Diceros bicornis minor: one gene and its partners. The protein of the gene in region 3 interacts with the protein of the main gene of each other region in a pairwise test. Links are inferred from orthologs where the notes say so. Each region holds a gene or a part of one and is shown on either strand. Other genes may lie near its edges. The genes, in order: ISCU, KANSL1 and NECAB2.

Region 1 (4,167 bases), on a different chromosome or scaffold from region 3:
ACTGTGGTTAAGGGTTTGGAGCCATCTTGAGAAGGTCAATATGATTCTTGGGATAAACGCCTTGCTTGCGTCTAACCTGGCGCGTGGTTCAGTCTCCCCAGCAACTGAGCGTCAAACGCAGAGAAACCTCCGAGTCCTCTGGGAAGTATCGATTGCACCATCCACGAGAAAAATCCATTTCCCAAAGAGATTCCTCCCCTTTATGTAATGCCTGGTGCCTAGCAGGCGTTAAATAACACGTGCGAGATTTCTCGTTTTCTAAGACCGTATTCTGCAAACCAATATTAATAAATTACATGACTAAACATTTATTCAGAAACTCTTCACTGCCAGGTATTGTCATATAAATTGTGCCAGTTTGCTTTATATTGAAATAGACGCGGACATAAATATACGCATTTTTCTGTTAATCAGGGCATGGTGTTCGTTTCCTTCCTAATTAAGCTTCCCATTTTTGAGGTAGGAAAGTATTGGCGTGTTCATTTATTGCCTTCCTCCTTCGTTAGCAAGCTTAATGGAGCAGGGACTATGTCTTTCCGTTGGATCCCCAAAGCCTATTAGTATAGCGCCTTGACATATGATAGGTACTGAACACATATCTGCTCAATGGATGAAAAAATTGGCCTTGACTTAGTACAAAAGAGAAGATCAAGGCTTAGAAAGCTGATGTCATTTGCCTACAGTCACACAGCCAGGAAGAAGCAGAACCGGGATTCTAACAGGATTGTTCGAGTTTGAATCCCCACTGAGTCAAACTCTGGGCAACCTCAGACAAGCTACTAAGTCGCTCTGAACCTCAACTTCCTAAGCTGCAAAACAGAGTGAAGAAAGGTGGACTAGGTGATGCTCTGCGCCGTATTCCGGCGGTGGGCTTTGTGAACGCGAACGTAGGTCCCGCACTCCAGGAAGCTGAGATCCTAGCAGATACAGAGCCCAGCGCCGAGAACAAACCCGCCTGCGACCCCACAGCTCCCAGCTCCGAGCCCCGCCCGCCCTGAGGGGCGGGGCCCAAGCGCGGACACGTGCACGGAGCGAGAGGGCGCAGGCGCGACGTCGCGGTGACGTAGGAGGAAGCGCGCTCCGAGCTGGGAGCCGACTTGCGGGCGCACCCCACCCCTCGGTCTCGCGCTCGGCCTGCGCAGGCGCAAGCCCGCAAGATGGCGGCGGCTGGAGCGGGCCGTCTGAGGCGGGCGGCGTCGGCCTTGCTGCTGCGGAGCCCGCGCCTGCCCGCCCGGGAGCTGTCAGCTCCGGCCCGGCTCTATCACAAGAAGGTGGGCGCGGGCGAGGGGGCGCGCAGGGCCCGCGCCGGCCGGGGGGGCGGGAGTGCGACGACCGCCGAGGGGCCCCGGGCGTGCCGGCGGAGGCCCAGCCCAGGGAGGAGTGGCCGCGGGGCTCTGCGCGGCCGGGGAGCCCCTGCTACGGCGGGGGAAGGGGCGGCGCCCGGCCCCGGACGGAGGGGCCGCCCCCTCGCTCGACCCTGCCCCTCGCTGCGCAGGAACGCTAACCCGCCTGAAGCAAGCACCGGCTGCGGCTCGTGGAGCCGCCGCCGCCCGGGGCCCGCCGCCCGCCGCGGGGTCTCGCGTCCCGGCCTTTAACTTCCCAACAGTCGGGGGCCTGTTGGGACCTGCCAGCCGCATCCGGGGCCAGACACGCACACCGGCTCCAGCCAGGCCACTGCCCGGGCCCAGTGACCTTGGGCAAGTCACTGCCCCTCGCCGAGCCCTTTTCCCCATTTGTAAAATGGGGGTCTTAGCACTTCTAGATCTACGCGAGGTGATGCTCGTGGAGTCCTCGGCGTGATGCCTAGCACACGGGGACCGTTTATGGTGCCGCAGCTGTTACTGTGGTAGGAAGGAGCCTCTGAGCGGAGTCGGACACGTAACCAGCAGTCATAATGTTTTTATGTATGTTTTGGTTTTTTCGTGGGGGGAGGGGGAGAGGAATAGGCGCAACGTTTACAGCCCTTGCCTTCTGGGGGCGTAAAGTCCCCTAGACGTGAGATTCTTTGACTCCGGAAACTAAGCGAAGAATGCCGTACATCAACATGGGGCAGAAAGTCCAGATTGGACATGACCTTGTAGGTCCTTGGGCTTGGAGTCCGAGTCCGTGGTCGGAGAGGTGGGGGAAAGGAGACTGGAAGATCGGGATACTTAGAGCTAACTGGTAAACGGACCCAAGGCTATTAAAGCGTGTGTGCCAGTGTGAAGAGAGATTTATTCGCTTCTGGCTTCACGATGCCAAGGACTTCCCTCCTCCGCCTCCCGGGGGTGTGTTTTGTTGACATTTCACGCTGAATGAGTTCGAGCTAGCAGCCTTCCAGCCACCAGGGGGCGCTGCTGCACCGGGGGGCTTTCAGGGCCCTGAAATACAGAAACAGGCCTGATGTTATCATCGTACACAAATGCACAGGGTCCATAGCATTGTTCCTTCTGTAACAGTCTCCTTGAGGCTCTGGGAAAGCCTTACATTTCTGACCCGTACTTATTTTTAGAATTTTTGAATAGTAATCATTAACCTTTAAAAATGGATTTTATTTGGAAATAACAAAAATACTGTTTGAGCCCAAATCTGGTGACGTAGGTGGTTAAAGGTCAAGTAATTATGTGTGGTTAAAAACCCTGTGGAATTAAGACATGATTTGGCTGGTTTTTCTCTCGTATCTCAAATCTCTGAAGGTAGTTGGAGAGGAGATACAGAAAGACTTTGGGTCGCAAATGGTTGTCATTGACAGAGGTGTAAGCCTTCCTACCAGGGTGAAATTTGGGATTTAGTGATCGCCTGCCAGGTTCAGCCTGCCGACTTCCGGGAGCTTACTGTCAAGTCGGGGAGACCAGTACCAAAAAAGAGTCATGATTGCTCTCAACCTTTCGTTTCAGGTTGTTGATCATTATGAAAATCCTAGAAACGTGGGGTCCCTTGACAAGACATCTAAAAATGTGGGAACTGGATTGGTGGGGGCTCCAGCGTGTGGTGATGTAATGAAACTACAGGTAGGACCGGTTTTGATCTTGAATGTGAATAACAGTGACCCCTTTGCTTACACAGAGCTTCACTGTTTACAAAGCATGCGCACACACAGCATTTCGTGCAGACTCCATCTTGATTCCTGTGAGATGGGGTGAGTCAGTGTTATAAATTGTCAGAGCAAGGACTGAATGCTAGTCCCCCTGCTAGTAGACTGTGCTGACCCTTTCTGATATAGTAAACTGATCTCCCTTTTCTAGTCACTGGATCAGCTTAAATTCCAGCTTCAGCGAAGTAAAGTTTTTATGAATTTTACTGATCGAAGGAAAACCACAACCGTTCAGCTAGCCACCCTCAGTGAGACAAGAAATGTAATAAATCAAACCTCCCCCAAATTGGCAACAACCTGAAGGTAGTGATTGGCACTTTGGGGAAACCGTAGCTTTATGCACAATCTACTTCATCATGGTGGGTGGGCACCTTGCCAGAGGTTTTCATGCTTATCTTGGAAAACAGAAACAAGGCAGGAGGGAACCACTAAAGGTAACTTGGTGCCAAGAAAAAAGCAATAACCAGAGACCTTTAGTGCAGACCGTCCCAGTGCTTAAAGAGGCAGACTGACCCAGCAGCTGTGAGCAGAACTTCATAGCCAAAAAGCAGGCTAGCATTGCAAAAAAAACTAGGGAGGGGGCATATTTTTCAGCTCATCTTTACCAGCTAAGCCTGTATAATTCTGTATAGTTGTTCCCACGTTTAACTTTTCCTCACTGAGCTCTTTGAAACAAAGCAAGCGCGGTAATTAGTGCCAAAACTTAGTGTGGAAAGAAAGACCACAGCTCTTGGGGAGAGCCCCGGTGAACCTCGGTGAGGGCCAGGTTCTACAGGGCATCTCAGGAATCACTGCCTAACTCCTGTCTCTTTTCTAGATTCAAGTGGATGAAAAGGGGAAGATCGTGGACGCCAGGTTTAAAACATTTGGCTGTGGTTCTGCCATTGCCTCCAGCTCATTAGCCACCGAATGGGTAAAAGGGAAGACGGTAAGGTTGCTTGCCAATTGGACGGCAAGTAAATCGAATTCCCCACAAACCTGGCTCTCAGTTAAGGGAAGGGTCTAGTGAGTGAAAAAAAGTAACTATGATTTTTTCAAAATATCATTCTAAGAATTTTTTTTTAATTTCTCCTACCCAGAGTGTGATTAAATTC
Region 2 (4,167 bases), on a different chromosome or scaffold from region 3:
AGTAGCTATAAACTGAAAATACATCTCAGAAAGATTTTAAGGACATTCACAACTGAAAAAGAGAAGAAAGCTCTCCCCCTTTTTTCACCCTGTAAATTCTACGCTATCCTCTTCTCTCAAAAAAGTGCCTTTTTTCCTGCCCAGATCAAACACTACAGTTTTTAAGTTTTTTTAAGGAATAAAAGGAGGAGGAAAATGTCAGCAAATAAAAAAATTGTTTAGACTCAGAAGAGGTCTTCCACTGATCAAAGGATTGGTAGGGAACATAAAATTAAGGCAGCCACACAACTACATTGTTAAGTAGTTAACAGGTAGCAACTCACAGAGTATGGAGTACTGACTTCCATTCTGTATTTCTGCCTTGCCAGAGGCCTTTGGTACAACTTCAGGAGTTACTGTGGAACTATATTATAATACCCTAGGTTCAGAGACTGAGAGGAAAAATCTTAAACATCATTTCATCTTAAAAAGCAGGCCTCTATGTACCTAATACATTAATTAAAACCAAGGAAACTGTAAAATAAAATCCAATATATTGATCCCAAATTCCTTGGGTTTATAGGGAACTAGTACCCACTGATATCCTCTTGACTGCTTCCTAAAGAGAACAGAGGCCACCAGGTCCTGGTGCTAAACACTGATACCAAAGAAAAATAGTTTCGTGCAAGCTTCTCCAATTCCTATGAGTTCAGGACTTCTGGCTGGGTTCCCCCACGCAACCCCTCCAACTCTACAGGGAGAATGGCTTCCCTTATACTAATATAAGCACCCATCACCCAACAATAGCAGCTAGAACATAAATGAAGATGAGAACTCAGTCTGCATTTACCTAAAGATTTCCCACAGTCCAAATATTTAAGTGACACAGACTGCATTATTGTCTGATTTATTCACTACATTAATCTGGAATTCCACAGGGCAGATTAACACACAACAATCTTAACTACACTAGTATCTAGCTCCAAAGAAAGGCAACACATGTCACCTGGTGAAGCTGGTGGAGGACTCCATCACTCCTTATCTGTCTCTCTCCATCCTTCCTCCTACTTTCCTCCCTACACGTCTTAGGCTTTGCCCTCTGCTTAGTCCTATTGGAGAATCCTTTGGCCATCTATATAAAAGAGATTGGAAGGAGCCAAGAGCCTGGAGAACCACCACATCAATGAGAGCTTTCTCATCTAAAGATCATCTGTCCACACTGCCCAGAAGAGGTTTACTCTGTGAGATTAAACTTGGCACAAAGTGCTCTCTGTTGAGAAAAATAGTGTAAATTCTCAGGCAAAGGACTAGGGAGCAGCAGAACTCTCCAAAAGAGCTGTACATGTAAACCAACAGATCTTAGAATGTTCTAATATACTATATGAAGTTTCAGAGTAAACAAATGGTTAATGACACATCTTTTGTAACACATGAATCAGCTACAGATTTGCAAGAGTGGGACACACCCTAGTACCTATGACTGTTTCAAAAGTGGACCTGGATGTCTGAATTGCCAATCCATCCCACTGAGATTGGAACAGAATTGTACAACTAGGCAGGATGTCACAATTTAAAGTTAAAAAATAAACACATCATGATAATGAAGTTAATTTGAGAACTTCATTAATATTTTAAGACCAATAATCAATAGTAGCAATACAAAGTAAGGAATAGCCAATCAGTCCTAGGAAGCAAACACAATAGTAGTTTTCCAGGGGAAAAGAGTGTGGGTGAGAGGGTTGAAGGACTGCAAATTTAAGAACGAGAATATTCTCATTTCTAAAGGAAAAGAAATAAAATGAGGCCTTTAATTTAAAAAAACACATCTTACCTTAAGAGGCATCCAAATAGCATTCATAGTGTCAGGAATAGTTCAGACAATACTCAGAAATGAGCAAGAAGGGAGTTGTAGTAATCCCTCAGTGACGAAGTAGGAGCAGGTAGAAAAATTTTTTGTTTCAAGAAGGTATCTGAAAGAGAGGACTTGCATTTAGACTAAAAAATAATCAAGAATAAGCAAACAATTTAAGCTATCTAGACATAGATTTGAAGTACTACTTCCTTCACCATCCTAAAAAGATGTACAAAACAGTCCCCTTTGGGAAAGGGCAAGTGTGTGTATCTCCATATATATGTAGAAATATATTTTACATAAAAAGTGGATTAAATGTGTAACACATACTTTAGATAATACAAAATTGCTTATCAAATAATTAGAAAACCATTATCCCAGATAGAAAAATGATTATCCAGCGTACTTCATAAACACGATTGAAAAGTCATTTGTTAACTGACCTTTTAAGAAAGACCCTTGTCATGTTTAATTTTTATTTAATAAATTAAAACCGCTCTGATCATTCCAATTGTCCTAAATTTTATTAAGCTTGTTTCAGAGTCGAATTCTACGTGAAAAATAAAATCTATTCTTAAGTGCTAGTAGCAAATAAAAGACAGAGATCTTTAAAAGCAGAACAAACAACTTAATTTTGAGGATGGGAGGAAGGCAAGTTTGCCTGCAGGTAGGAGGATGGCTTAAATGACCTCTTGTAGGATCCTTGTTCAAGTCCTCGGCCTGAATGAAAATTCCAGCTTAACCAGTTACTGCATCGCTTAAAATGGAGGCTTGCCCGAGTAGGGACAAAAATAACAGCACCCACCTCTGAAAAATAAATTTCGAAAAATCGAAGACTACAGTACCCTCATTTTTAAGAAAAATTAAAAATAAAAACCTCTGGAGTGGATTTGTTCTTGCTATGCGTTTGTCACTTCGGCTACGAAGACTTGGCATCACTTTCCTTACCGGTCGTCAGATTTTTTTTTTTTTTGCAGGGGGGGTGGGGTGGTTTGACTCTTGACCCCAGTCTCAGGAGGGTTTAACAGCCCCTCCATGATCCCCACCGCGAAAGCCAAGAGAAGAGAAAGGAGAGAGCCCGAGTTCCCACCCCTCCCCCCACCGTGGACCCTAGTCCCAAACCTACCCCCCCCTTCCCTCAGAGGGGCGCCTCCTTCTGCCCCATGCCCATTGTTAGGGCGGGGGCGCGGGGGGAGTGGGCTCAGGGCAGGGGCGCCTGAGGCCGTGGCCCCGGCTCGCTTCAGGAGGGGCGGCCCGCAGGATGCAGCTTCCCTTCCTCTCGGCGTCGGTCCGTCCCACCTCGGCTCGGCCTGGCGCCCCGGACTCTGCTCGGCGCCCCCGGCCCGGGGCCCAGCCCAGCCCGCCCCCCGGGCACCAGGCCCCTGGCCCCTCGGCCGGCAGCCCGCGGCCCAGGCCTGCGGGTGGGCGCGGAGCGGGGGTCCCCGTGCCCCACACACGCGTCCGCTCCCCCAGTCCAGCCGCTTCCAGGGCCCTCGGCGGCGCCCGCTCCCCGGGCCCTTCGGCACCCCGCCTCCCGGCCGGGCCGCCCCCTCGGGCTCCCGCAGTCGAGGCCGCCTCCCCTTCCCCGCCATCACCCCTACCGACTCGTGCCCCTACCCCCAGGGGCACCAGTGCCAACGGCTGCTCCCCCGGCCCCGGACCTACCTGCACGGCTCAACCAAGCCTAGAAGTGGGGGCGGGGAATCTTCCGCCCTCCTCTGTCTCTCATTGGCCCTTCCGGGGCACATCGTGAGCGCCATTGGCTGATGGCAGATGTCCGTCAGAGCGGTGGGGCGGGACAGAAGGGGGAGAGGGATGCTGGTGCCTCGGCGTCTCTGTCTCTGTATATCTCGCTGTCTCTGCCTCTGTCTCGGCTCTTGGGAACGAGAGACATTTGGACGAGAGAACTGGAAGGGGCCTGGAGGTGGGAGGGATAGAAATAGGAATCCTGGTAGACCTTCCCACCAATCTGCCACTCCGAACCCCCTACCTAAGTCCCCTTTAGATCCTCTTCTCCATCACCCCCAACCCCGGCCCCTCAGCCCTGTAGGTTCTTCATCCAGGAAGCGACGTGATGAAAACTCGAGCCGGAAGGCCATAGGGGGAGATTTTATATATGTATATAAAATATACACACACAAATACTTATGTATGAAGTCAACCAGATATAAGGTCATGAGGGCCTGGAAAGGAAAGGGTACACATCTCACAGACAGGGAAAGACTTTGAGATATAGCCAATATAAGAAGGAATCAAAAATCCCTCTAAGAGCTGGCAACAGTGGTTTCCTCCTGGGTGAGGAGCTGAGTGTCTAGGGGACCAGGTGGGAGGAAGAC
Region 3 (4,167 bases):
CCAGGCCCCGCTCGTTCCAGAATCAGGTCCCAAATAAAACCAGAGCCTGCCTCCACTCATGTGTCTGAGGATTCTACGCTTGGGGAGGGGCCCGATGCCCAGGACCCTTCTCTGGGAGCTGGGGGGAGGGCACAGGGCCATGTAGGAGGAAGTCCTTGGACTGGGGGGTTGGGAGATAAGGGATGGTGCCCCAAGTGGGGGACAGCTATGTAGAGAAGTGAGGGGAGGGTGTGGAGAAACGAGGTGCTGGGGAGCCTTCTGCAGCCCTCCCACCCCTCCAACCTAGTCCCTGCTGCTCTCCCACTTGGTTCCAGCCACACTGTCTCCTTTCAGTTCCTCATCAGGCTTGTACCTGCTGCAGGGCCTTTGCACAGGCTGGTCTCTAGCCCAGGGCATTTTCCCTCCTCTCTCTTCCTCTTTCTCCTCTTCTTCCACTCTCTCAGCATAAGGATCACCTCCTCTAGGAAGCCTCTTCTGACGAAGACCCCTCCAGGGCCACATGGCCACCAGGACAAATCCTTCACTCATGGCCCAAAGTGCCACCTCTTTATGGCAGTTCAGTTGTAATGGTTTATTTATTTGTGAAATGGTTCCAGTATCTGGCTCCACCCACTTGGATGTAAGCTCCCGGAGGCCAAGGACCCAGTCTGTTTTGCCCATTATTGGAATCCGGCGCCTAGCACAGGGTCTGGGGCCTAGCACCTATCGGGTGCTCCCTAACTAATCCTTTGGACCAGTGGATGGATGGATGGATGGATGATGGATGGACGGATGATGGATGGGTGGATGATGGATGGATGGATGGAGTGTGAGGGGAAGAGGATGTTCTGGGGCGCAGCCTGGTTCCGGTCTTTGTGTAATGGGAGGCGGAGGTCTGGGGGAGCATGCACGCCCCCGGGAGGGAGGAGTAGGTGTCAGTGGGAGTGATGGGGGAGCCCGCGCGCGTGGGCACTCATCTCGGGAGCTGGAGCCGGCAGAGGGCGCTCCAGGCTCGCCGGACACCTGAGCTCCGGCCCCTGCGGCGGCGCCACGGGTGGGGTGGGGGGACCTTCGGGAGGGCAGCCCCCAGGGATGCCCCCCACGCAGCCAGACCCCCACCAACCCCGTGCCTACTGGGCAGCGCAACACCCCCCCATGCGGCCGGGCCGGGGTCCAGCCGCCAGGCCTCGCGCTCCGGGCGGGCAGCCCCCTGCCGCCGCGCCTGGCCGCGGGAGTGGGGGGAGGGGGGTGTGGACACGGGGCACGTGGCTCGGGGTCCGGGCGGAGCGCCCCCCTCCCCCTCCTTCCCCGGAGGCGGCCCGTCCCCGCGGTGGCCGCGGCCGTGGGGGCCGAGAGCGGGAGGGCGGGGCGCGCGGGCGGCGCGGGGAGGGGGTCGCGCGGGGGCGGGCCGCGGGCCGGGCGGGGGTCGGCGGGCTTCCGGGCGGCGGCGGCGGCGGCGGGCGCGGCGCGATGTGCGAGCGGGCGGCGCGCCTGTGCAGGGCCGGCGCGCACAGGCTGCTCCGGGAGCCGCCGCCGCAGGGCCGGGCGCTGGGCGGGCTGCTGCGCTGGGTGGGCGCCAGGATGGGCGAGCCCCGGGCGCCGCTGGCCCCCGACGCCCCCGCCGCCCCTTCCGCGGACCCCGGCCCCGGCCCCGCCTCGCCGCGCGGGGGCACCGCCGTCATCCTGGACGTGAGTACGCGCTGGCCGGGACCCCGAGTCCCCTCCTCTCTCGGGGGCGACCCCGACGCCGCCCTCCCGGGTCCCCGCCCCGACCCGCGTCCTCTCCTCCCTGCGCAGACGACCCCGACCCATCCCCCTCTGCGCCCCAGAGCGCGAGCCCCCAGCCCGTCACGTCCCGGCCGGGGTCTGTCCCCGAACCAGGACGACCTCTCCTTCCACCAACCTCCCTTCACTTCTCGGGACCCCCACCTTCCCGGAGCCGGGACTCTGGAGCCCGTCGCCCCGGCCACTGCCCCCCTACTTCTGTGCTGGCCAAACCGTCGTCTTTTCCCCAGCCCCGCGCCTCGCTCTTTACTCTCATCCCCTCCTGAGACCGGAGCCCCCTCCTCCTCTCCACCCCGGATCCCTGCCGAGTCGCTACTTTTCTGAGAGACAACCCCCCCCCCCCCCCCGGGCTTTAGGTGCCGGCTTTCTCGTCCTGGCTTTAGACTCTGAGCCCGGTATTCCCCTTTCGCTCCGACACAGCCTCTTTAAAAGTGAAGCCCCCTCCCCAGCTGTCTTCCCCTCCCCTTTCAGTGGAGCCAAACCACCCCCATCTTCGCTGATCCCGGACCCCCTGGGCTCCCCCCAGCCACCCCCACTGCACTCCTAGGCCCCTCTGTCCCCCATTCCCTTCCCACCCTCCCTCTATTCACCGCCCCCCCCCAGTCCCCTCTGGGACTCAAAGCTCCACTTCACCCCCCCCCCACGCACTCCCCCGGGTGGGAGAGAGATTCTACAGGGTGGATGGCCGCCCCGTGGGAAACTTCTTCATTCTGGGGTTCCTGCCCCCCAGTGAGATCACGGGTGGTGGGACATGCATGTCCCAGTGAGGGTCCTTTTGTGGTGGGGGTGGCCGCAGGATGGGGTGCTTCACGTGTGTGTGGTGGCTTTCTGGGAGTGTTGTGTGTGTGTACTGCACGGCCCTATGAGTGGGGGGACCGTGGGTCTCCTCTCTTCTGGAAACCGTAGTTGACTCTGGGTGGAGAGGACTGGGTAGGGAAAGGGAGCTGTGCTCTGAGTGCTTGTGGCTCCAGTGCCCCCAAACACACACACACAGCCCGACACACACTTACACAGCTAGACCCCCCCTCCCTCTCCCCCTCTCTCTCTCTCCCCCTCCCTCCCTCTCTCTCTCCTCTCAACCCCAGCGGAGTTCACGCTGAAAGCCCAGGGCCACAGGGTCCGGAGACGCAAGCCTGCCCTCGTAGGGAAGCCTGCACCGACCCCTCCTGATTCTCTCTGACAGTCGGGAGGTGGGCTTCGAGTCCTCATGCTGGCGGTGTGTGGGCTCTGAGTCTGCATTTCCTCCTCTGTGAAATGGGGTGATGAGCGGGCGTCGGGGCTCACAGGCTGGTGCAGACTCCTCGAGCCGCATCCCTGTGGTCCTGTCATTCCCTTGTTTAACACCCCGGCCCAGAGCAGGCACCTGAGGGTGGGACCCCGGCCTCAGGAACCTCACAGTCAGGAGCAGGGGTGTGGGGCGCCCAGGCTGGGGCTTTGAGGAGGGCCTGGAGTGGTCCCATAACTGCCTCCCTTTCTGCTCCAGCCACAGTGGGTTCCGCCTGGTGCCCTGGACTCGGGGTTCAGCTGAGGGAGGGGGGTGATGTTCCAGAAGCCCTCCCTGAGCTGCTGCTTCAGTCTGTCCCAGCCCCAGGGGCCTGATAATGGATGCCCGCCCCATTGGTGGAAGGATGGGGGGGCATCCTCCCTTGGCACCAAGGCAAGGACCAAAGATGGGGTGGTCATGGGGGGGCCCTCCCCCTCCCCCTCCCCCTCCCCCTCCTCAATCAATCAGCATGGCTTACCTGGTCCCAAAAATAACAAGAGAAGGAGTTATCTGGTCTCACCTGAGGCTTGGAGGGGGCGGGGGGGGGGGGGGGGCGGGGGGGGGGGGAGGCGTGCCCTGCCTCCAGCCCCTCATGATGCAGCCAGAACTTTGCATCTGCAGCTGGTTCCCTACTGCCTACTTCCACCCACTCCCCCACCCCCAAAATAATCCAGCCCTGCCCGCGGCTGGTCCACTCGCCAGGTCTCGAGGTTCTGTTAGCAGACCCCTTCCTTCAGACTTAACCCAACCTCCCTGGAGAAAACCGGGGCTCCCCAGGGGTTCTGGGAGGGGTGCAATGGTGTAAGGCGTGTGGCTGCGCCCATGGGACACAATTCTGAGTGTGCGACTGAGCACAGGACAGTGGGTGAAGCCACGTGGACCGATAGCTCTGGAAGTCCACCCGCAGGCGTGTGGATGGGTGTGAGCGTGTCCACGCGCGTGTGCGTGTGTGTCGGCGTGGCCGTGGGCAGGCTGGCGGCACAGAAGGGAGTGGGTGGCTGCTTCCGCGCGGGCGGCTGGGGCGGTCTCCGCCTGAAACGTCCCTTCCCCGCCCCTGGATCCCAGCCGGGGTCTCCTCGCTGGGGAGGGGGTGAGGCTCAGCTTCCCCAGGCCCGCGGGGGACGAGTGGGGTCTCACTA

Evidence for each region.
Region 1: the proteins of NECAB2 (region 3) and ISCU interact in binary tests that used the Homo sapiens proteins (3 or more experiments, as listed by UniProt). The two-hybrid records come from large-scale screens. The link is inferred for Diceros bicornis minor from reciprocal best matches to the Homo sapiens genes NECAB2 and ISCU.
Region 2: the proteins of NECAB2 (region 3) and KANSL1 interact in binary tests that used the Homo sapiens proteins (3 or more experiments, as listed by UniProt). The two-hybrid records come from large-scale screens. The link is inferred for Diceros bicornis minor from reciprocal best matches to the Homo sapiens genes NECAB2 and KANSL1.

What each region holds. Positions count from the first base shown.
Region 1 is NC_080774.1:18,771,949-18,776,115, reverse strand, and holds the start of ISCU (iron-sulfur cluster assembly enzyme ISCU), read left to right. Parts: upstream 1-1,142; 5' UTR 1,143-1,157; coding exon 1,158-1,271; intron 1,272-2,876; coding exon 2,877-2,990; intron 2,991-3,890; coding exon 3,891-4,001; intron 4,002-4,167.
Region 2 is NC_080757.1:44,760,698-44,764,864, forward strand, and holds the start of KANSL1 (KAT8 regulatory NSL complex subunit 1), read right to left. Parts: upstream 2,877-4,167; 5' UTR 1,811-2,876; intron 1-1,810. UniProt on the Homo sapiens protein: Non-catalytic component of the NSL histone acetyltransferase complex, a multiprotein complex that mediates histone H4 acetylation at 'Lys-5'- and 'Lys-8' (H4K5ac and H4K8ac) at transcription start sites and promotes transcription initiation.
Region 3 is NC_080771.1:33,094,530-33,098,696, forward strand, and holds the start of NECAB2 (N-terminal EF-hand calcium-binding protein 2), read left to right. Parts: upstream 1-1,449; coding exon 1,450-1,668; intron 1,669-4,167. UniProt on the Homo sapiens protein: May act as a signaling scaffold protein that senses intracellular calcium.